4 linked regions of the Caenorhabditis elegans genome follow. The protein of the gene in region 1 interacts with the protein of each later gene in a pairwise test. Each region holds a gene or a part of one and is shown in the gene's direction. Other genes may lie near its edges. The genes, in order: xnd-1, ztf-20, nhr-20 and ceh-23.

Region 1 (6,207 bases):
GGTCTGAGTAGTAATTACTTCATCGTTTTTGCACTTACCACTATCCGCTTCGGCGATAATGGATAAGTTCGAACAATTGCCTCTGTTTCTCTTGATTGTGGTGATTTTCGACGGGAATATGAAGATGTGGGAATTTGTTGATGTGGCCTAACATGAGGCTGAATAACCACATAATCGAACTTCATGGATTCAGAATTTCCGAGACTTTGTCCGGGTTCTAATACATCTTCTGCCAGCGGAACGTCATTATAGAAATCCTTATCCAGTCCGGAGGACATTGCGGTGAGCTGTGAAGGAGGTCGAGAGTCTGCTGAAAATATAAATGATTTTGGTGTATTTCTTTGCAAGAAACTCTTACATTTCTTCTTAAAAATCAATGAATCTGTCCATCGCATTGCCTCAATTAGTCCATCGGACATATCAATCGATTTTCTAGCATATTGATCGAGAAGATCCGACCAGACTTCCTGAACAAGAGTGATGTCCTGCCAAACTATATCAGCACGTATCCGATCCCATGCTTCTCGTTTCTGAACCTTCAACTGAGCATCCGGCGTGGCGGCTTGCATCTCCTCATCGTAGAGAATCGGATTTTCTCGAACCATATTGATTAGTTGAAGCTGAAAATTTGAAAATTTTGAATTTTAAACGTTTTCCAGCTTACAAGTGTGTATTGCGTAGTTTTTACGGGTGGATCTTCCCTGGAAAATTGTTGTTGGAGGTCTCCAGCACCACCGTGGGAGCTTGAGGCGACACCTGGAAAAATTATTGGAAATTCTGAATCTATGAATATCGATTTACTTGTCATTGAATGCTTGAGACCGGCGATTTGATAATCCTCTGTTCCGTGCCGCCGTCGGTCGCTCATTGGAAATTTTTAATAATAATTCTGAAATTTATTTTCTTCTCAAATTCTCGCAAGTTTCTCAAGCATTTCTAGCTGCGTTGCGTGGCGATTCCTTCCCGAATTCGAGTTTCATATCAATCTACGATCCATTGAACCCAATAACCCGATTGGCAAGAAGATGATCGTACACACTCATTCACATAGGTGATAGACGTGCTACAGACCGTGGGAGACTCGAACGGGTAGTAGGGCGGAGCCGGGAACCGCGACGCAACCGAAACGCTTCAGAAACCGCAACGGAACAGGCATGCGAAGCGGTCAAGATTCGAAAAAGAAAACGGAGCGAACAGGCAGAAAAACATCGATAGATAGGCGCGCGTGGCCGAGAAGGAGGCGAGACGAGACATCTAGGCCATCGATGGTTTCTCTGCGTCTCTCAAGTGAGTAAATAAATGGTTTTGAGAGGGTAAAATGAAGAAAAAGGATTGATCGAAATTTAAAAACTTAGTCTAGGAAAGGAAAACAAAGCAGGGGAAATCTGAAACAAAACATATAAAAACACACATTTTAACTATTTTTCAGAGTTAAACAAATATAATCTAACAAGAATTCAACTTCAAAGTGAAGATTTCCAGAAACGAAAATGGTTATGTGATTTAAAAATGTGATTTGTTCAAGGAATTACAAGAAAACTCTGGTTTAACATTTGAAGAAAATCCATATTGCGAAAAATGAATTTTAAAAGAATTATTGACGGTTTTGAAATGTGAAATTTTCAATAAATTTCGAAAAATAGATAACTTTTTTTAAATAAAGAAAAACAACGAAAAAATATTTCAGTGGTTACGGTAAACAAGCATAAGAGTGTTTGCGTACTGCGGACCAAAATCTTCGCGAGACCTCGGGTACTGTAGAAAATTTAGGTATTTTTAAAACTTTATTTTTCTATTAATTTCCCTTCTTTCTCATTGGGATTTTCTAGTTTTCTGGTAAATAAAAACAGTTTAAATTTAAATTTAAAAATTTTATCTCCATATTTTTTGTTTCCAGGATGTCTTCTGAACCCATTGTTGCCAATCTAGACAATTCCATGACGACAGAGCCTGCACCCGCAGCTTTTCCACCAATATCCCCAATGTCATTTGCTTTTATGAATGAAGAAGAACGAGCAGCGGTCAAGTTTCCAAAAGTTGATCCAAAACCGCAAACTGCTAAAGATGATGAACCTTCCACATCCCAGAAAACGTTGAGCGTCGATGATCTTCTGATAGTCGACGACGACGACGAAACTGATTCACCACCGGCATCTTCTAGTAATTATGAACCTAAAGCTCATATTGGATGGGCTTCATTCGGAGATTCCTGTCTCCCACCTCCACCAAAGCCAGTTAAAAAAGCTACGGATCCAAATTTGCCACGAAGAAGTTTGTTTGCAAATGGTCCTCTGTTAAATAAAAATATTGTTTTCAGAAGTCTACGTCATTCGTTCTCAGAATACAGACAAGTCGAAGTCCCCGTTAGTTGTTAATAACCAACAAGTAACACTCGAAAAGGCACAAAATTCTCCAAAAAATCCGAATCCTGTTGTATCTAAGCCAATAGTGCTTACAGACTCTGATGAGGATGTGGACGTTGTTGGATTCGACGAAGAGGAGGAAGCGTTAGTTTTTAAAAAGTTTTTTATTAAACAAAACAATCACCCGTCTTCAGAATTAAAATTATGGCCGACCCTACACGCCCACCAGATCTTCCACCACAGCGATCTCTGATATCCAGATTTGAGTCGAATCGAACCAAAAGAGGTATTTTCCATGAAAATTTGATTTTTTAAAGCTCATTTTCTCTTCAGATATCTTCCGAAACAGTTATGATTCTGATGAGGAGGAATTTCTGCGATCTCGGTACCAGCGAGCTGTCACACCGCCGCCAATTCTCGAGCGACAAAGTGGAAGTACTCGGGAGTCTGTAAGCGAACCAAGTGAAGGGAAAATTCTCGAGGAAGACGCAACGCTTGGAAGTGAACATACGGAAAGAGTCGGAAAACGAATTGAGTAAGTTGAATTTCGGGTTTTTGAAAACCTTGACTTCCAAAATAATGACAATTTGTTTAATAAGTCCTGCTAAAAAGCAAATTTTCCAGATTGGAGGAAATCAATCCATCACAGCTTCTACGAACCAAAATTTCGGCGAGCGCAATTCCAATCCTTCCACTCTCCAAATCGATAATGGAACGTAAAAAAGTAGCTCTGGAGATGACGAAAAACGCCGTGATCAGACAAGCGAATAACTTCCGTCCAAAAGCCAAAAACAGTACCGTGGCTCCAAAAAGTGTCCAAATTCCTGCATATAATCATAAAACTCCTATGACGTTCTACTCGAATATGGCGGTAAATTATATATTTTTGGAAAACCCTAAAGTGGAACTTCAATATTTCGAATTTTCCTGCATTATCATTAACAAAAAAACTTTTCAGCAATTACTAGTGTTTTTCATCCAATAATTATATTATTTCATTCCCTGTTTTCATCATAAGCAAAAAATATTTTCATCTAATGGTTGCACAAAATGGTAAATTTTTTGAAGAACTACAGTAACCCAACTCCAGTTTCTCTCAATAAATTAAAAAAATCTTGGCGAAAAATAAGAAAGTTCAGCGACATTGAAAAGAAGAGGAGAAGGGTTACTGTAGTTCTAAAAGGCGCTTACATTTTTGCGCCGGGATGATTGGAGATAATTGTTCGTGGTGCGACCGTAGTTCTTCCTAAAATTTTGCCACTGGCTAGTACTTTACAAAATCAAATTATTTGTGGCGAGACCTACAACGAACAATTTTCAAAATTCAGGCCCCCGCCTTCGTCAAAGGAGTCAATGGAAGATGTTATCGTTGCGCCGAAATTCAAAAGCCTGTGGATATGAGCTCCTTCCGATTCGTCGACGATTCTACCGTTATTGCCATCCGTGCTCATCTTTGCGATCAGACACGCGTCATGGTAGCTAGAACAGCAATTTGGAATCGAGAATACGCGAAACGACTCGGCGATCGAGCTGCTGGAACTGTTTGGCAGAAACCGGACGAGGTGTCGGCTCAGATGACCGGATTTTGCAGTGCGACGGTTCGTAGATGTATTGAGATTGCCAATATGTCTATCATTCCAAAGTGTGCTGATCGTGTTGGTGTTTCGGTAAGTTTCAAAGAACAAAGAAGATTTAATCTAACTTTTTTCAGAGAAACGAACTGACCTCCCTGAAGTCTTCTTTCGGATCCGAGAAGTTTTGTGGGCAGACCATGCGAGCTCCACATGTACTCACTCAGTTCTACTCAGTTAATCAGGCATCGATGGCTCGTAATAGGGAAGGTTCTGATGGTCCTTCTTCCTCAGCAGCAAGACCGGTTGGAAGACCACCCACTACGCAACCAGTAGAAACTGCAGTGGAGAAAAAGAAGAATGATGAAGATGAGAAAAGACATCATCCACTCACAAACTTCACAACAGCATCCACGTCTTCCCAAAATCTGCAAGATCAACCACCACCCAAGAATACCGTTCTCCGCTGGTCAAATATCACAACTCCGAGGATTCTTCGTCCACCAACTCTCAAAACTCCCTACTCGCTTCCCAGGACTGCAGTGATTCCGGTGATGAAGAAGAAGCAGCCCGAAATAGAGCAAGTTCAGCCGAAGAAGGACACGACGGCAAGCCTTGTTCGCAAAAGAGGCCGCCCGAGAAAGGAGAAGCCTCTGGAGGTGCAGTCTCCTCGCAAGGGACTATATCTTCGCTTCAAATCGTGCACAAAGTATATTGTTCGGGTAAGAGAACTGAACAATTTGAAAACTTGAAATATTTGGTTTTACAGACTCCAATTGACAAAAGTGTCCAAGAAACGGTGAACTATCTACTGGATGAGGTTGACAAAAGGGCTTCAACTTCTGCTACGTAGCTGCTACAATCTCTGTTCTTTTGTTTTTGTTTTCTCGTTCTAAATGTTTTGTTGTCTCATGTTTTTAGTTCTTCGGAACTTGTTATCCCCTCCCAGTGTTTTATTATTTTTTGTACATTTTACTGTTGCTCTGTTCTGCACGTTGACCCCACATTTGTTAGTAGCATATGAAACGGTTTTATAAAGTAAGTGGAAAAGGTAGAAAATCTGAATTTGATAATTTTTTAATACGGCTGAATACGATACTCGACTTCCGCGAATCCCCATCCCGGCTTTCCGTCGACAACGAATTCGCTCATTCCTTCGGTGACCTGACATGCTTGATCCAATCCCATTTTGAATGAGACGGCTTCCTTGATATGAACATCTGCGTGATGAATCTTGCCGTCAACTTCGAACGAGTAGTGGAAATCATCAGGGAAATGACGATCCTCTCCGTGGTTTGGAAGGGAGAAGTGTACACGATCCACTGGCTTCGTCTCACCAGTTCTGAAAAAAAAAATTTAGGTTCTGCCCATTAAGGAAATTACTAGAATCTTTTGCGAGAATACGGTACTCGGTCTCGAAACGACTTAAAGGACACTTATAATGATCCAAAACGACGAAAAATCATAATAAAACACTCCAAAAATGTTTATATTTTTCGTAAGCTTTCGCAAATTGCCAAAATATTGAAAAATAGGAGCTATTGAGAAAATCTAAAGCAATGTTGCATACCCCTACAATGTGTTAATACGAATAGTTAAAACAAAATTAAAGTATTAAAAAATGTGATAAAAAAACAATTTTTTGGGGTGACTTCGAAAATTATAAGTGGAAAAACTGAGTAATTGTCACTTTTTGACATATTCCGTGAATTGAATTCCACGGTTTCAAAACGCTGTGAATGTGTGGTGTCTCTCGCAGAAAAATTCAAATGCGCCCTGTTGAGCCATTTTATGTGTTTTCTTGGAGCGTAGATGCATCAACCCACGGTGTAACAATATATCCAAATTCAAGGTGACTAAAAACAGTTTCTGGCATTGAAATAACCGAAGTATGAACACATGTACCATCTTCCAAATGGTAAATCATCATGATATATCTGGAAATTTAGTCAATCTACGATGCAAACAAGTTCCACTTTACCTTCGAATGTCTGACCATCTGCGGTATCCAGCAATCGTGTGATCTCTCATGCTCGTCATTCGAATTCCAGAAGCAGTGTGATTTCCAATTCGAAAATCTCCAGAAATCGTTCCAAATTGTTCATAGTGTGACTGATGGGATGCTCGCATTTTATCGAAGAGTCCACGGCTCCATGGCTCAATTGCTAAAGAATGAGCAATTGCAGTGGGGGAGCACATCTTGTCGAAATCGAATTGATTTCCTGGAAATAGAAAATAAAGTAAAAAGACGTGCGAGGCCAATAAGCGGGCGA
Region 2 (6,053 bases), on another chromosome or scaffold:
TACAGGAGACGATATGTAGTCGTAAAACCATCAGTGGTATTGACAATCTATTGGTCCGGAATATATTACTCTGGGGAACAAATATTTAAATTATGTAATGACGCTATTTCGCAACAATTTCAATTGAGAATATGTAATATTTAAAAACCAACACGATTGAAAGAAAACTTTTTCACTGAAAATAAATACACTCGATTTTGCGCGTTCGAAACAAAATATATACAATATTTGAATCACTTCGAGCAAAACTATTGTGGTTTTGAGTTTTAATTCGATATATCTATTCAGAAATACTGTAAAATATAGGGATTCAGATGAAAAATTGAACAAAGCTATTGTATTTTTTTAAAGAGAATGTAGAATTTAAACAAAACCAATTTTCTTGAGCTTTCCACCTTCAAAAACCGAATTTTTTGCAGTTTCCCGGGATCCCCTGAGTACGCTGTAATTGTATACTACTGGAAAGGTGAACCAATTCAATTTGAGCCAGCTTTCAAGCAAAATGGAGTACGAACAGAGTCTAAGGAGTACTCGAGATATCAACAAATTGCTGATGAGGAACAAGAATTTGTGGAGGCTACTGGTTCTATGGATCCTGTGGTAGAAAATTTGCAGAAGTACGGAATTCGAAATTAAATATAAAAATTTTGAAAAAAAAATTTTTTTTTTTTGAAAATCTCAAATTTCTATTTTCTATTTTTCAATAAGAAATATCATATTTAATGTTTTTTAACAAAAGTTTTTTTTCCAGAAACCTTGCCCCATCACCACCACCGCTACTAAAACGTGTCACCTTCCCACCGGAACCCCAACAATCCACGTCATCAACATCGGCTGAAAACCTTCACGAGCTGAAATTACAGCTTATTCGACGAGAAATGCAAAATCAGGACAGATTTTCGGCGGTTTTAGACCGGGCCGACGGGCTTTTGGCTAGAATGGAGCAGAGATTCGGTGTGGAGCACCACCACCATATTGTACATCAGGAACAAGAAGAAGAAGTGTGGGATCATGAACAAATTATTGAAGAAGAAGAAGTTATTGTGCAGGATACGATGGAATATTGAAATGATTTTTTAAATTTTTTTTAGTTTTTGAAAATGCGAAAAATTTAAATTTTGAAATAAAAAATTTCAAAATTTTTTTTTTTGGATTTTTGTTTGAATTTTTTTAATTTTCAAAATAAATAAATAATTGTTTTTTTTTTTCAATTTTGAGTCACTTTTACACAATATGGTTTCGAATTTCCATTATAACTTAACGACAATTGTAAAAGTTGAGCCTTGCCATGAAATCTACAGTAACCCGCTGGTTTTCTTGTATGTTTTTGAAATCAGGAGATCACAGCGGTTCGAATAAGTATAATCATGACTAGGTTTCGAATTCATTAATTTTTTTTTGAGTTTTGGGTCCTGCCACGAAAACCAAAAAACTAGCGGAACTCGGCAAATTTCGATCGAAATTTCTAGTTCATAATAGTTTTCAAATTGACATGAAATGCGCGGTTTGAATGAGTATAATCACGACTATTTAAAAATTTTAAATTTTTGGGTCCCGCCGCGAAAATCAGAAAAACTAGGATAACTCGGTGATTTTCGATCGAAATTCCTGAAATTTTATAGTTTTGAAATCAGCATAAAATGGCGGTTCTAATAAGTATAATCATTACTAGACTCCGAATTTATTTATTTTTTCGAGTTTTTGGGTCTCGCCACGAAAAGTGTGAATTTTCGAGCAATCGATTTCATTTGACATTATTAGAAATTAGTATAAAATGACGGTTTAAATAAGTATAATCATGACTAGGTTTGAAAAGTTTGAATTTTTGGGTCCGGCCATGAAAACTTCTGGTTTTCGTGGTGAGACCCATTTTCTGTAAATTTTTGGAATCAGAAGACCACTGCGGTTTGAAAAAGTATAATCATGACTAAGTTTGAAAATTTCAGAAAATATTCGAATTTCTGGGGGGTCCCGCCACGATCAACTAATTTTCAGATGGAAAGCTTCTTAGAACACCTAGAGCAACTCAAACACGAATTTTCACAACTACCAGACGTTCATCTTTCAGAAGCAATAGGTTTGTAGAGACGAGCAAAATTTTTTTAATTTTTTGAAAAAAGTACTTCCAGAACGTATGGACGCAGCAGTTGAAGAAATGACACAAAGTGTGATATTTATTGAGGATAACTTCCAAAATACACAGGAAGAATGTCTAGTGGATATGGGAAAACATATGGTGGTACGTAATTAGGGAAAAGTTTGGGAAATTTGGAATTTTGGTCGCTGCTAATTTTTTGGGCGCTGCAATTTCTCATCATTTCAGGAAGATTTCTTGGATCCATCCGCCGCTGATTTTCTCGGTCACCTGGAGCCGTCTACGTCATCGCAGGATTTCATCTACTATGATGACGTGGCATTAGACACTACTACGTCATCGTCGTTCGTCACGTCACAACCTAGAGAATTGTACTGTTTTACGTGTGGAGATGCATTTAACAATCGGAAAGGGCTTTACAGGTATATTATATTTTAATTTAAAAAAAAAACAGAAATTTTCTTTAAAAAAATATTTTCTCAGACACGGAAAAACCGCCGAACACGCGACACGACCTCCTCGCCGAAAAATTGAGCGAAAAATTCAAATTCCCGCCGAACCGCCAGAAAAACCACCGGAAATTCCGAAAAAATCGATAAAAATCTGCGGGGAAAAATCGATTTGTGCGGAATGTTCGGGGAGTTTTCCTAATCGAAAAGCACTTTACAGGTGAGAACGCCCAAAAAATTAGCAGCGCCCAAAAATTAGCAGCGCCCAGAAAATTAGCAGCGACCAAAAAATTAGCAGCGCCCAAAAATTAGCAGCGCTCAAAAAATTAGCAGCGCCTAAAATATTAGCAGCGCCCAAAAAATTAGCAGCGACCAAAAATTAGCAGCGACCAAAAAATTAGCAGCGCCCAAAAATTAGCAGCGGCTAAAAAATTAGCAGTGCCCAAAAAATTAGCAGCGCTCAAAAATTAGCAGTGCCTAAAAAATTAGCAGAGCCCAAAAATTAGCAGCGCCCAAAAATTAGCAGCGACCAAAAATTAGCAGTGACCAAAAATTAGCAGCGCCCAAAAAATTAGCAGCGCCAAAAAATTAGCAGCGCCCAAAAATTAGCAGCGCCCAAAAATTAGCAGCGACCAAAAATTAGCAGCGACCAAAAATTAGCAGCGACCAAAAATTAGCAGCGACCAAAAAATTAGCAGCGCCAAAAAATTAGCAGCGCCCAAAAAATTAGCAGCGCTTAAAAAATTAGCAGCGCCAAAAAATTAGCAGCGCCTAAAAAATTAGCAGCGCCCAAAAATTAACAGCGACCAAAAAATTAGCAGCGCCTAAAATATTAGCAGCGCCCAAAAAATTAGCAGCGCCCAAAAAATTAGTAGTTACCAAAAACAGTTTCTATTGATTTTTGCAGATTTTTAATCGATTTTTCTCTAAAATTTACAGATTTTCACGATTTTTCTTAAATTTTTAAATATTTTCAGACATGGAAAACAAACAAATCATCAGACACATTTTCAACGTGGAATGAATATTAAAGGAGGATCAATTCGATGCGAGAAATGCGAATATAGCAGTGATAGTGAAAAGAACTTGAAACGACATTGTCAGAGAAATCATTCGAAATTTTCTGCAATTTCTGATGAGATTTTATTGTAAAATTCTAGTTTTTCATCACCTTTTACCTCGGGTAGCAACTTTGCAGAGTTTTAGTGCAAAATTCCGTCAAGTCCGGTGTTTTGAGTACGGTAGTCGGTGTTTGCGTGCTTTCGGCGCTACAGTACCCAAAATTTCTCAAATTTAACTCTAGAAGCCTATAAATAGACGGATTAGCTCAGAATTCGATAAAAATTTCGAATTTTTCAGTAAAGTATACAAATACCAAATGTTAACTGCGGAAAATACCATAAAATTCTAAATGCTTGAAATTTCAGCATTTTTTGAGATTTTTTCAACCTTTGCAGTGTGAAGTACCCGAAAATGTTCAAATTCAGCGCTAGAATACCGGGAAAAACGATTCTCACTCAGAATTCGACGGGAAATTCGAATTTTGCACATTAAAACATGAGAATTCTCAATTTTTAGTGTCGAAAATCAATATAAATCCAAAAATCTGAAATTTCAGCATTTTCCGAAGTTTTAAACATTTTTTCAGTGTGAAATTCGAGCTCTCCGACGAATTTCACATCTATATCATTCTTTTCAGCGTTTTTGTGCAAAATTCCGTAGAATCCGGTGTTTGCGTACTTCCAAAACTACAGTAACCCAAATTTCTAGATTTTGGGCTAGAAGCTCCAGAAAAAATGTAAAAGGCTCAGAATTTAAAGGAAAAATTGAATTTAATATGAAATTTATGGAATTTTCAAAAATAAAAAAATTTGGAAAAAAATTATTTATCTTTTCTTTTTTGTATTGTTCCAGTGTATATATTGTTTTATGATCTCTGATTATTGTTCTCTTATCTGATATTTTTTTGTGATAAAGAAAATGTCATCATTTTTTCCCGCGTTTCTGTGTGTACTTTGTATGTTATTTTCCCCGGGAATAAACTTTTTTTCTGCAAAAACTTTTGCACTGAAGCCTATATTGTGGTCATATGTGTATTGTAGCACTGATAATATTCAATGTTGAAAAAATTTGAAAAAAAATTTTTTTTGAAATTTTTTTTTTTGGAAATTTTCTTTTGGAATTTTTCATTTCTTCAAACTACTTCTCATTTTTGTTCAAAATTTGCAAATTTCCAACACTTTTCACCCAAAAATTCAAAAAATTCAAAAAATTCAATTAAAAATTCATTTTCGGATTTTTTCCAGAGTTTTCCAAAATGTGCATTGGATTTATTAAAATTGCTACTTCACCCAGTGAAAAATACAAATTAATTATTCTGAACAATAGAGATGAGGATTTGGACCGGCCGACTACTCCCATTCACTGGCACGATGGGATGCTGAGTGGTAAGGCTGGAAATTATCACTTTACAGGGAAAAATTGGAAAAATTGAAATAAAGAAATCGAATTCCGCATATTTGAAAACCTATGTGAAGGTTTTAAAAAAATTAGAAAATTTTAAAATTTAGAAAAAAAAATTTTTTTTTCAGAAAATTGAGAAAAATGTATTTTTTTTGCAATTTTGCACTGGAAAATTCGAATTCCCCGTCATTTTTACCCCTACCCCTCAGTTTTTAGGGTTTCCGTGTAAAATTCCGTAAGATCCGGTGTTTTGGGGTACGGTAGTTGGTGTTTGCGTACTTCCGGAGCTACAATACCCCAGAAAATTCAAAATTGAGCTAGAACACCCAGAAAAATACCTCTTATATTAGAATTTAATGGAGAACTCAAATTTCGTAACGAAAATCGAATTTTTTTATTTTATTTTTTCAAAAAAATAGGAAAATCAGAAATTTGAACCTTTTCCGAAAATTTCAGACACTGTTCATTAAGAAATTTGAATTCTTCGTCACATTTTACCCCTAAGCCCCAGTTTTCAGAGTTCTAGCTCAAAATTCCGTAAGATTCGGTGTTTTGGGGCACGGTAGTCGGTGTTTGCGGACTTCCGGAGCTACAGTACCCCAGAAAACTCAAAATTTGAGCTAGAAAGTCAAACGAAAAACCACTAAAAGCAGAATTTAATGGAAAATTCGAATTTAACAATAAAAATTCAAAATTTTCAGCGGAAATTCAAATTTTTCCCAAAAATGTCTAGAAAATTGGAAATTCCAGGAGTTGACGAAAAAGATGTGGCCCGTGGTACTTGGCTAGGAATGGATGCACATGGAAAAGTCGGAATGTTGCTTTCAATCACCCAACCTGTCGACTCAAAACACAAAAATGCGCCTAGCAGAGGCTAGTTGGCGCATCTCTCGATAACGCGCAAATTTCCGATTTTCAGGTGGAATTGTCAATGAATACTTGAAAAGTGGCACGGATACAACTAAATTTTACGAAAATTTGCGAGAAAATGCGGAAAAATTCAATGGTTTTCAGTTTGTTGGAGTTGAAAAGTTAGTTTTTGAGAG
Region 3 (6,186 bases), 1.4 Mb from region 1:
TTTTGTTTTTCCTTTTATTTTTAATGTGCACAAATGAATAATATTCTAATTTCCCCTTGGAAAAAGTGATCGAAGAAGAACAAAATTTGGAGTTTCGTGCCAGTGGTCTGTGCAGTGAACACCTTGTTTTTCCTGTCTAGAACGCATCTCTATGAGCTCATTTTGGTAGTTTCCTTGGGAATAGCACCCTTTTATGATCTTCTATTAAGTGTATTTTTTAATACAATAAATCCTTGTGAATTATGATAAATTTTCGACCTCTAATTTTCTCAAATCACTTTGTATAACCTCCCAGAAAATTAGAAAAATGTTAAGCTAAACTTATGGTGCATCGACTGAACGATAATGCTGTCGAAAATAATTTTTCTGATCGTTCTCTACTAAAAATTCAAAGTTCAACTTATTTTATATAGCTTGGTCTTCTGTTTAGCATAAACAAAAATATATTAAATTTTTTAGTCTGCGTAGTTTTCTCTTCCTCGTGTGTCTATTTCTAGACGACCTAAAGCTCCCGTTAATAAATTTATTCCAGTCGTCGCTCGATTAATCCCCCCTCTGCTTGGTCAGAATGCTCTCTTGATCTAATAATTTGAGATTTTTGTGACTGGTGTTTGATGGAAGACGTTATCGAAAAAAAAACAAATTTTTGGACCTGGGGTATAAATCTCTAGGCTTATAATTTTATTGTTTCTAGAACATTGTTTGCTTAATTTTCAGAAAATGTTTAGAATTGTTTAGGTTTTATCAAATTTGAATACTAATTGATATTTGCAGAGAAAACAACGTTTTTTTGCTAAAAACACTTTTTTTTGGAAATTGCTTTAAAATTCGTCGAATTTCAACAAAATTATATTCGAAAAAAATCAAAACTTGCCAAAAAACAATTTTCTATTCGAAATTTCCCCTTATTATTTTTTTTTCTGCCAATTCAATTTCAAATTCCCACGCAAAAAAGGCGGCCACCGACCAATCACCTATGTTGGCTACGCCCACTGCGCATCGCTGATTGGTCTGCGCCCTCTCACGACTATTTTTAAAATTTCTGAATCAAAATAACAATTTATTCGCAAACAATCTGACTGAGTTTCAAGAATGCAGCCAAATTTTTTTGAAATCTGAAACCAGGTTTAATTTTTTGATCTCTTTGAATCCCTGCAGAATTCATTAACATCACGTCACTACTAATTATTTGATTATATGAATCACTTGAATCAGCATCATATCACTTTTTATCTGGGGAATATCAAAATGTTTACTTTCAAAAAATTCCCACGTGTGTTTTTTTCCGCTTTTCGGGACATTGCAAACATGTGATGAAAGCATAGAAAACTAGAGTCTAGTTGTAAATAGGGACAAGTTTGAAAGGCTTTTCCTTTCTCTTTTCTTCTGAAAATAGACTAAGAAAAGTGTTTCTGAGAAACGATTTTGATGGATAAAAATAATAAATTTAATTTTCTCCTTTTAATGATTTTAAACATTAAAGCAGAGAAAAGTTGGATTTTGTCGAAATAGTCTAAAAATTGATTCACTAAAATGTTCTAGATTTTCAATAAGTTATGAGCAGCCCTACACTCGTTAAATGCAAATTTTTGAAGCCTAACTGAAATATAAAATCGTAGAGAAAACTTTTTTGGCCGAATTCCAATATTATGGTAGGTAAAAACATAGCAATCTCTAATTTTTTAGTGAAAAAAAAATTCAAAAATTTTTTGGAAAGCTTTACAATATTAGAGCAACTTTCAACAGCTCTTAACTTAATTTTTATGAGTCGTAGCAAAAAATTTTCACCTGCAAAAAATAAGGATCGCAATCGAAAAATACCGGTAATCTCAGCAGTGGTCGTTTTTTGGAAAATTTGGCAAATTTCAAAACCTAGAATTAATATAAACCATGAAAATTTTGTGTAAACTGAAAATACCTCTAACTCTAAAAATTTACAAACTTATTTATCGTTAGTTTAAAAGTTTCCAGATTTTCGAATTCTCATTCAAATTGCATGGCAAATTGGCATTTTTTTTTTCAAATTTTGGATTGTATTTTCAAACTTTCACAAAGTTTTGATATAATTAAAATATTTATTTATTTTGACTTTAAAAAATATATGCCCTGAAAACAAAGCTTGACACTGCTCATAGAGGAAAAAATACCAATCGGAAAAACACGGTAAGTATTTTCAACTGATCACATTTTCATCCAAAACAATCAATTTCGAGATGTATATTAATACAATTCATAGATTACTATAATATTAATAACATAGATCACAGCTCCACCACCTACACACATCCTATTTTGTATCTATCCAATAATTGAATCAAAGAGGCGTGGGGAAATATTTTTCGGAGAGTTATGTATAACAGTAATTCCTTTGTTGTTTAAACTTTTACATGATAGCCAAGGTTTACAATTTGCAAATTTACAAAAATTAACTTGGAGCCATGTGCCTTTAAGCTTCTGTATCTCTGAAAAAGGATAACATGTCGCAACCAAATTATTAGTATTTCTGACTAGTACCCTCGGTGTAAAAATTTAAGTTACTGAAAAATCGTCAGTTCTTAAATGTACAAAATTATGCCAGTTATGCAGAAACGTTTTAAATTGTATAAAATGCTGTCAGAAATAGACTATATCTCAACGCGCAATTTCAAGAGATCATGATGCTAGGAGAGACCGGTTTCATTTATTTTCGCGATAGTATTCCTCAAAATGTCATGCACAATTTCACACTCTATTTCACTCATACAGATGATCATCATATTTTTTCTCTGAACGTATTATCTCCGGTCAATTGAACTTCTTTTTTTTTAAATATTGACCTTATATATTTGTTACTCATCTGGCTGTGTACATTTCGCTCATAAAAATAATTTTCAGCTGTCAAAAAACATTGAATGAAACAAGAACGATCAAGTGGTGGTTACAGTGGCATTCCACCCACATCCAAATGCCTTGTTTGTGAGCATCCAGATGGTGGCTCCGCGCATTTTGGGAGTACATCATGTCTGGCGTGTGCCGCGTTTTTCCGAAGGACCGTATCGCTGAATATTCAGTTTCAGTGCAAAAAGGACAAGAACTGCGTGATATTTCATGGTAAGCATCTGGAAATGTGGCCGAATTTTTAAGGTCCTGCAAATAACCAAAAATGTTCTACGTTTCATAGAACGGAAAAAAATATATTATGCAGCGCTCAACATTTTATAGGTTTTTCTAGGTTAGGGGATAGACTCGAAAAATAAAAAAAGATTGTTCACATATATTTTGGGAGTAGTCCGGGTCAGTCAGCAGGCATATTCCGATCTGAAGGCTTACGTGATAGAATCGGAGTTGCAACTTACCTACACACCCACTTTAAAACTACTTTTCCAGAACTCCGAATGATTTGCCGAGCTTGTCGATTCGATAAATGTGTGAAAGCTGGTATGCGGCGAGAATGTGTACAGAAAAGAAGGTCGAATAAGAAAATTCCGAAGAAACATATGAATATGTTGAGAGAAGATCAAATTAAGATGGAATATGATGAGTGCAAGTTTGAATGCTCTGGAGGTGAGTGCTCTTTTTGAAGTTAATAAACTTGCGTGTAAAATACGATGCATTAAGTACGCGTGACTCAATGTATCGTGGCGAGACCCGTTAACTCCTTTTTGAAAAAACCCAAATACTTCAGACCAAACTGATGACAATTCTCCTCTGTCGATTGAGAAAAAATCGCCGCCCGGACTTCTTCCAAATGACAGCCCAATGATGGCAGACTTTGTAAGTGCTTATGAATATTCAAGCCTTCAATAAGACCTAGAAAAAAAACATGTGTTAGGCAGGCATGTAGGACTGAAACCTGCCTGCCATGGAAACTCTAGGAACAAAAACTTAAACATTTATATTTTTTCTAAATTTTCAGAAGTTTGACCCCAGCGATATCCCGTCAACGAGTGGTGGATCAACGCAGAGGTTGGAAAGATGTGAGTTTTTTAGTGGTGGCAAGACCCACGGAGAAAGACGTCATGTACTTTTAAAGGGACATCTCAGTATTTTCAAACAAAACTTACCCAATCAAGTAATTTCAGCACCGTCTCCAAAACTGGCAGAATCGAAAATCCTCAGTATGAACGGAGAAGAGTTGCTTCGATTTTATGTGGATCAGTTGAAAAACTCAATGGACCGGCGACGAATGATTTTTACGGATACTGCACTTTTAGCTGTCATTGATGATCGAGGCGATGTGGTGAGTTTCCCATTTTAATCGGAATTTATTTCAACTTGTGCACAGTTTTTGAAGTAAAATTTAAAGTTTAAAACTGTGCACAGGTTGAAAATAATGGGCGTGGCTTATTGGTACATTTTTTATACTCCTAGTCGAAAAGGTCAAATTTGCAGCCATTTGACGCAACGGAACCACCTCCTCACTCTCTGAAACGACAATACGAATCTCAACGATTCGATAATCTCCTGGCATTTGACTTTTGTAAATGTTGCCCCGGATTCGATTTTCTTAGTCGAGTGGAAAAGGCAATCTTCTTTAGAAGTTGTTCATTAGCCTACTGCCTGCTGGATATCGCTTGGATTACTGTACAAGCTTACCCAGAAGAAGCCGCCGAGCCAGTTTTAATGTATACGGATGGAAGTGTGTGTACAGTTAATAATTTATCGTATGGATGGGATGATGAAGAGGATATTTGTGCGCATGATAAGAAAAAGTGAGTAATTCATTCAATATTTTGAGCACTTATTCGTTTGGAATAAGGAAAAATTTGATTTTGGGCGCATATTTTGAATTGAGAGCTCTCTAGAGAGAACCAAATTTTTGGCTATCGATGCACCATGAAGAAAAATTTTTTAAAGTTAATATAACACAAACTGAAATTCAAATAGAAAATGTGAATTAGGAATAACTTTACTGTTAAATAAGGTCACTACGACCTTTTTTCATTCATGTTGCATCAAATAATTGTCCTGAAAACTTGAATGTTTTGGTCAATTGAATTTTATATTATTTTTCAGGCTATTTCTTGGTTTTTTGGGTCGCTTCAATGACGCTATTTGCCGGCCGATCCGGAATTTAAAAATGACACACGTGGAATTTGCAGCTCTTAAAGCTTTGTGCATTTGGAAACTGGGTTAGAATTCATCTAGTGAGAAATTAATAAAAATCAAATATTTTGTAGGTTACTGTGAATTTACTCCAAGTATGAAAGTAATCGGGAAGGAACACGAAGAAGCATTGCTCAACGGATTACACAATTATTATGATGATTTGTACGGAAATCCTGATGAAACTGGCATGAGGATAGGAAATCTCATTTTGTTAATGGGAACTGTTTTTGTAAGTTTTCATTTACAACTGATAAATGAGACTAAAAAATAATGTTTATTTCTTTCAGGAAATGAATCAATTAATAATGGAAACCTACAAATCGGCGGAACTTTTCGAACTATTCAAGCTAGATGCTCTTTCAAAATCCCTGTTGACACTTTAGTGGAATTTGTTTTCTTTTTTTGTTTTTAATATTTTAATACTTTATATGGAAAAATCAACATTTTACGGGTTCTCTCTCATCTTCTGTCTCCCATTTTCTTGTATTTACTGTTCCTAATACAAAATATAGTTGCGCATTTCAAATGTGATCAATCTGCAATGTGATAAAATAAAATGAATTCATTATGAGTCTCCTTTTTATTTAACAACTGAAAAAATAACAATTTAGATTATGGTGCTGAAAATAATCTCGAAATTCGTGATCCGGAAGCTGAAAAAAATAATATTTGGGTACGGTAGTTGGTGAAATACGCAAACACCGCCACGCGTATTTGCGGACTTTTCATTTTTCAAAAAAATTTTTTTTTAATTTTCTTTGTTTTTTTCTGCAAAAATCGTTATTTCTCTTTGATTTTTTGCGGGAAATTTGTGATTTTTAATGGTTTCACAGATGTTTTATCGAAATATCAACTAAACATAGTCTCGCGACCCTATAAATCATGGCCACCCCACCTTTTCTCAACGTTTCCTTTATTTTCGCCGCGAAATTCTCCGATTTTACTTCTCCCTCCCCGATGTATGGTCCATCTGGAACACGATCTTCGTCCGATCGTCGTCTCGGTTCCAATTTTTTCGCTTTGTTCACACTAATTTTAGAATTTTTCGAATTTTTCCCGGGAATTTTCACATGCCGGCGCGATTCTTGAATAGAAGAT
Region 4 (5,320 bases), 2.2 Mb from region 1:
CTTTGTTGGAAAAATTCGATTAGGTCTTGATCTACTAGAGCGGAGAAAAGATTTGATAATAAATTAGGCGTTTAAAAACTTTTTGCGTAATATCTACGTAGGTTAAAAAGAATTTAATCAAAAAATGAAATGCCACCAAAGATTGAGAAGAGTTTAGAATTTTATAAAAAATGGCTTTCACACAAGTTTCGTAGAAAAAATTGAAAAAAAAACTGTGGTATTCGGAAAAAAGAACCCAAAATCAACATGAAAATACTCAAAAAATGTCCCCACCGAAAAATTCTATAGTTTATAATATACATTTTAAAATCAAAAATAAATATTAAAGTATTCTTTTTAAAAAAACTTGCATTGCCGGCAATTGCCTAATATAAGGTAATTGTTGAAAAACCCAAAAAAATCTGAAAAACTGACGGAAATTTGTTATTCAATCGCGAATTGTTCGAGGTTCTTAAAACAATATTTTCGAATCAATCAGATATTTTTACATTTACAGAAAATTATCATACCAAAGTGGGCACTTTTGTGGATTTGCCACACCCCTGGTTTTGAATTCAAATATAAAAAACCAATATTTGATGGTTTTACAACTTTGAAACTTAAATCTGAATTTTAAGGATTCATGCATATGTACAGTACATAGCTCATTGCACATTTACACGTCATCATTTCGAATAATTTTTAATCCTTTCAGATCATCCAATTCTTTATCCACTTGTGACTTTTTTTCCCAATCACGTCAAAAAAGTTTTAAGACGCTCCAACTAATTATCGAATCCACTCGGCTCAATCCGGATAATCCTCTCACTCCCCCCGCCCAAAGCGATTATTCGATGAACAAATGATCTTTATCACTATAATCATCGTCAAAGCTATCATCATCAGAAGGTGATAAACTACATAGCTCCGCCTTTTCCGTTTTTAAGCATCTACGCTTTTTTTGCTAGAAAAGGCTAAGAGGGCGGGCTCTCCTTAAAAATTGAGGATATATAAAAGATTGTTTTCTAAAGCTGTGATGTGATCAAATAGTTATGATTGGGTGCATTTTTTGTGTCATAATCTTTGAAAATATTTGTATTTTTTATTTGTTTAGATATTTTCCAATTTCTAGCTCCGACCTTCTGATTTAAATGAAACATGTGACCTGCGAAGAATTTGAATCAGAAGTTTCATAATTCCGGCTTCGGGTCAGAAAACCCACAAATCATATTCTTAGTTTTTTTTGAAGGAAAGTGGTAGGTATTTAATGTTTCTGTATTGATTCTCAGAAAGTTAGTTACATCAGGTTTAGGTACCTACATAATTGTTCAAAATATGATAGTGGCAAGTTTTTAACATGTGTTTCAGTGGAGAAAAGTATGAATTCTTAGAAATTGCATTAAAAATAACAAACCTTGAGATACCATAGTTATGTTAACCTTCAAAACAAGTACCGTATTTCCACTAGTAGTAATGCACTTTACTCTTAAACTTTGGCAGCGTTTGTCGTAGTTTTTGTTCGTTCTATCGAAAAATTGTCAACTGATAAATAATTTGTTTGATTTTTTTTTCTATAGATTCGCAGTTATCTTACAAACGAACAGTGGTACAATCTTTTAAATTTAAGCAGTTTCAAGTGTTTTAATTTTTTGTGGTATTAGACGTTATTAAGAGCAATTTATGTTCATGGCTATTCCCATAAAACCTCAAAATTAGTTTCATTTTTGATCTTCTTTTTTCCAAACATTGAGACTTCCTTGAAAATGACAAATAATTGGCTTCCATTTGCATGTAAAATATGTATAACGTTCGATCATATTTAAACTTTAAAGCACATTAGCCTGTGAGCTTTGATATCTGACTAACAGAAATATGTTAGACACAAAATTCGATTGCTCTCAATTTTATATTTGAAACTTTCGAAATTTTCACCAATTAAAAATTTTACACTTAAAACTCAAATTGTTGAAAATAATCTAATAGGTTGTAGTAAATTGGAGCAGCTGCAGAAATCGAGAAGGAAAATTAAGTTTCAGATTTTTATTTTAAATTCTCACTTTTTCATTTCTGATATGCAAAAATGTGATTAAATAAAATCCTCCAGACATTCATTATCTACGTCTTCCCATCTGATTCCATTCATCTTTCATAATCCGATTAGCAATTTCAACATTTCCTGGAAACACTGATCTTTAAAAATTAATCCTTTTCATTTTTGTTTCGTCTGACTCATTTAATAATATCTACACTGATATACCTGCACAACACACTGACTACTATTATTACTTTTACTACTACTATGACTACTATAATCTACTAATGAGTGGTAAATTTTGAGCTTTGATCATTCGTTCACATCCCTTGGTAATTGGAGAGAAGCAGTGTATTTTCATATTCCCAGACTCACACGTTTTTGAATTTGTCTGCAATAGTGAAAACTTTAGTTTCTATAATTTACCATTCAGGGGTATCAGCATTTTATTGCACCCAGTAATTTTAGATAATTTATGGTTTGAATCTGTTTTTGTCCAACTTGATCTGATAAACTTAGAACAGTAAGTTCTACAATTGCCAAACTTTTAATTTTTTACCTCTTTACATTTTTCAACATTTTTACATTTTTTGATTAATCTTTATTTTCTAGATGGACACCCATCTTCCATTCCAAACTTTGCCAGTTTCAACGCCGCTGCCTGTGTCTTCATCATCTCTAACAGGTAACATCAAATCCATTTTGAAATGTGCTCTTACACAAAGCTCCTTAATATCCAAATCGCATTCCCCCACACCATTTAATGATTTCATGACTGAAAACCATCTGTCAAACACGACAATCATCCGATTTTCATTGCTGATAAGCTGATTTCGGGAATGATGATGATAAGATTTGTTAGACTTATTCAAAAATCGAGAAAGATGAGAAGCTGTATGGCTGACATATCATTTTATGAATTCAGACGTTCTTCAAACAATTGCTGCTTTACAAGCCTGTCCCACATCCTGTATACCTTCAACATCAACTGGAATGCTTTCACCGAATCTTCCCTTCTCGGCTACAATTCCACGTGTCAACTTGTTCCCACCATCACAACCAGCCAATTCTTTAATACTGCCAACAATTCCAGCACAGGTGAATGATTTTCGTATTTTCAAAAAACCTCTTAACCCCTTTTGTATTTTCAGCCTTTTATTCCAAATCCATCTCTCCTGCAAGCCAATCCATCTGCTGTCGAAGCTCTTGCAAATGCACTTTTTGCAACAACAAGCCGTCGGGCTTCTTGCCCAGAACCTCCTGCATCCTCTCAAGCAACCGTCACGCTTCAAGTCCCATCTACGGGTTCTCCAGAACGACGACGTTATTCAGAAACAAATATGGAGGTTCTGCTACGTGAACAACTTGCACAATTGATGCCTCCAACCTCTCAACTACCCGGAATGCCTGGATGTTATTATCAACATGTTCCAGCTGCTGGAACTTCAGGAATTCAAGGATCATTAGATGCGGCGTTAATGGGAGCTGTTCCCTTGGCTATGAATAGTATGGCACATAGTCGGAGAGCAGCAAATCATAGAAAAGCAAGGTAAGGAGAATAAACCAGCAAAATGACACATCTTTGTAGCATACTCTATCAACTTTTTATCAATCTTTAGCACAAAATCTGCAGCTTTTCAGAAAAGAGCTTTTTGACAAATTTTCATTTACATTTCTTTGAAGCTGTGGCGTTTTTTTTCGAGAAGAAGAGCACAATATACTTGTATACTGGCTTCTCGCCTCAAAAATTGAACAAACCAGTTTCAGAAAACTTTCATAAAAAAAGTCAGAAAAATTGTCAACGAATCATAGAACCATCAGGTGACTCATTTAAGATTTTATAAGCTTTATCAAATCCTTTGACGAAATAAACATTTACTTCATTTCCGAAAGGAAGTTTTTTGGCCTCTGACTTGAAGTTTTTAAAAATATAATTTATTTATCTTTAGAAATTCTTAATCAATCTAAAATATAACTTTGACGCAAAACGAAGTTCGTGGGATAATTCATACGTGCCGAATTGAAAAGAAATTGTTGGTTCCCACAGTAAGAAGCTGAAGAAGATTGTTTTAAGATTCTAAACTAAAGATCAAACAAATTCAAAGTTTTCAGAACAATCTACGGTACAACACAAACTCAACAACTGGAAGATATGTTTAAAGGACAAATGTACGTAGTCGGAGCAGAACGAGAAAATCTTGCTCAACGCCTTGGCCTATCACCTTCTCAAGTTAGAATTTGGTTTCAAAACCGGAGAAGCAAACATCGTAGGAAACAACAAGAGGAGCAACAGAGCACGACGTTAGAAGAAAAATCTGAAGAAATTGGAAAAGATGAAGAGGAAGATGATGAAGAAGATGAAGATGATGTAAAAGTTCTGAATTAATTTAATTTTTTTTTTCGTGTTTACTTGTTTATTTCCTGCCATATTCTGTTTTAGAAAATAATTAGAAAAAATGTGTATATTCTTGATTATAAAGCATTAAACAAATAAAGTTTTATGTGAACTTACTTGATAGGTTACGTTATCAGGAAATGGTTCGGTGCTTCAAAGAAAATGTGAAATCTTACAAGAAAGCTTAGCGAATGGCTTCAATTTTTTCTAACTCAATAAATAATCAATATTTTACAAAAAAAGTATTGCGAACAAGAGGTAAAATATTTCTGATCACTTTGTTAGTTGAACATTTGGTTTTTAGACGTGTATTTTTCCAGATACGCCAGTTTGAAGATACGCAATTTAGCGAGTCCTTGAAGTTTTGTGGATATATTTAATTTTGCATACGACCAACTTTTGAAAAAAAAACAGTAAATTCCACTGAACAAACCGTAATTTTCCACATTGAACAACTTATAAATAAAGTCTGTGTGATAAGTTGCCAAAAATTGTGTGTTTAATCGAAATTTCTGATAAAATTCAAGTTATGCCACCAACCAAAAATTGGTTTGAGAAACATCTTGTCTTTGGAATTCTACATTTCAACAAATTTTAAAAATTATACAGATTCTCTTAGACAAGTGTTTTAGAAAAAAATAGCTTTCAATTGCCTCTTGGACGGTTCAAAGTGACAATTTGAGTGTAAAATTTTCAAGTTTTAGCTCCATGTTCCGCCATGATTTTGCCATTTCATGATGGTTTAAAAACCAAAAAAAAACCAACTGAACATTTATTGACTGATTTTGAGTAATATTTTAGAAGAGAATGAAAAAGAAATTAAAAATATGAGAAAGAAAATTTGCTGTGAGGATTTTTGAAAATAAAAAAAGAAACAAAACGGGGAGACTGAAAGATGTCTGGGTCTTCTGAAA

Evidence for each region.
Region 2: the proteins of xnd-1 (region 1) and ztf-20 interact in a two-hybrid assay, tested with the Caenorhabditis elegans proteins (one large-scale study listed by BioGRID).
Region 3: the proteins of xnd-1 (region 1) and nhr-20 interact in a two-hybrid assay, tested with the Caenorhabditis elegans proteins (one large-scale study listed by BioGRID).
Region 4: the proteins of xnd-1 (region 1) and ceh-23 interact in a two-hybrid assay, tested with the Caenorhabditis elegans proteins (one large-scale study listed by BioGRID).

Annotation. Positions count from the first base shown.
Region 1 is NC_003281.10:5,602,563-5,608,769, forward strand, and holds xnd-1 (X chromosome NonDisjunction factor), read left to right. Parts: upstream 1-1,897; 5' UTR 1,898-1,898; coding exon 1,899-2,271; intron 2,272-2,317; coding exon 2,318-2,507; intron 2,508-2,557; coding exon 2,558-2,649; intron 2,650-2,696; coding exon 2,697-2,898; intron 2,899-2,987; coding exon 2,988-3,234; intron 3,235-3,691; coding exon 3,692-4,030; intron 4,031-4,074; coding exon 4,075-4,656; intron 4,657-4,703; coding exon 4,704-4,787; 3' UTR 4,788-4,994; downstream 4,995-6,207. Other genes in the region: madf-11 (MADF domain-containing protein), read right to left, coding at 39-310, 359-620, 665-756, 802-868; C05D2.8 (DUF7064 domain-containing protein), read right to left, coding at 5,012-5,276, 5,761-5,871, 5,916-6,156.
Region 2 is NC_003283.11:18,956,115-18,962,167, reverse strand, and holds ztf-20 (C2H2-type domain-containing protein), read left to right. Parts: upstream 1-1,995; coding exon 1,996-2,077; intron 2,078-2,120; coding exon 2,121-2,239; intron 2,240-2,323; coding exon 2,324-2,517; intron 2,518-2,578; coding exon 2,579-2,764; intron 2,765-3,521; coding exon 3,522-3,696; 3' UTR 3,697-4,601; downstream 4,602-6,053. Other genes in the region: Y39B6A.43 (DUF4124 domain-containing protein), read left to right, coding at 420-617, 752-1,067; hrg-10 (DUF833-domain-containing protein), read left to right, coding at 4,862-4,991, 5,758-5,880, 5,927-6,038.
Region 3 is NC_003281.10:4,229,908-4,236,093, reverse strand, and holds nhr-20 (Nuclear hormone receptor family member nhr-20), read left to right. Parts: upstream 1-2,874; 5' UTR 2,875-2,891; coding exon 2,892-3,090; intron 3,091-3,366; coding exon 3,367-3,543; intron 3,544-3,664; coding exon 3,665-3,753; intron 3,754-3,895; coding exon 3,896-3,956; intron 3,957-4,061; coding exon 4,062-4,219; intron 4,220-4,371; coding exon 4,372-4,691; intron 4,692-4,995; coding exon 4,996-5,111; intron 5,112-5,159; coding exon 5,160-5,317; intron 5,318-5,375; coding exon 5,376-5,471; 3' UTR 5,472-5,658; downstream 5,659-6,186. Other genes in the region: F43C1.5 (uncharacterized protein), read right to left, coding at 5,701-5,741, 5,984-6,186. UniProt on the Caenorhabditis elegans protein: Orphan nuclear receptor.
Region 4 is NC_003281.10:7,836,971-7,842,290, forward strand, and holds ceh-23 (Homeobox protein ceh-23), read left to right. Parts: upstream 1-2,621; 5' UTR 2,622-2,623; coding exon 2,624-2,696; intron 2,697-2,936; coding exon 2,937-3,109; intron 3,110-3,162; coding exon 3,163-3,560; intron 3,561-4,123; coding exon 4,124-4,397; 3' UTR 4,398-4,521; downstream 4,522-5,320. UniProt on the Caenorhabditis elegans protein: Probable transcription factor. Required for differentiation of AIY interneurons, acting downstream of LIM/homeobox protein ttx-3. Modulates gene expression, acting downstream of AMP kinase aak-2/AMPK signaling. Modulates lifespan.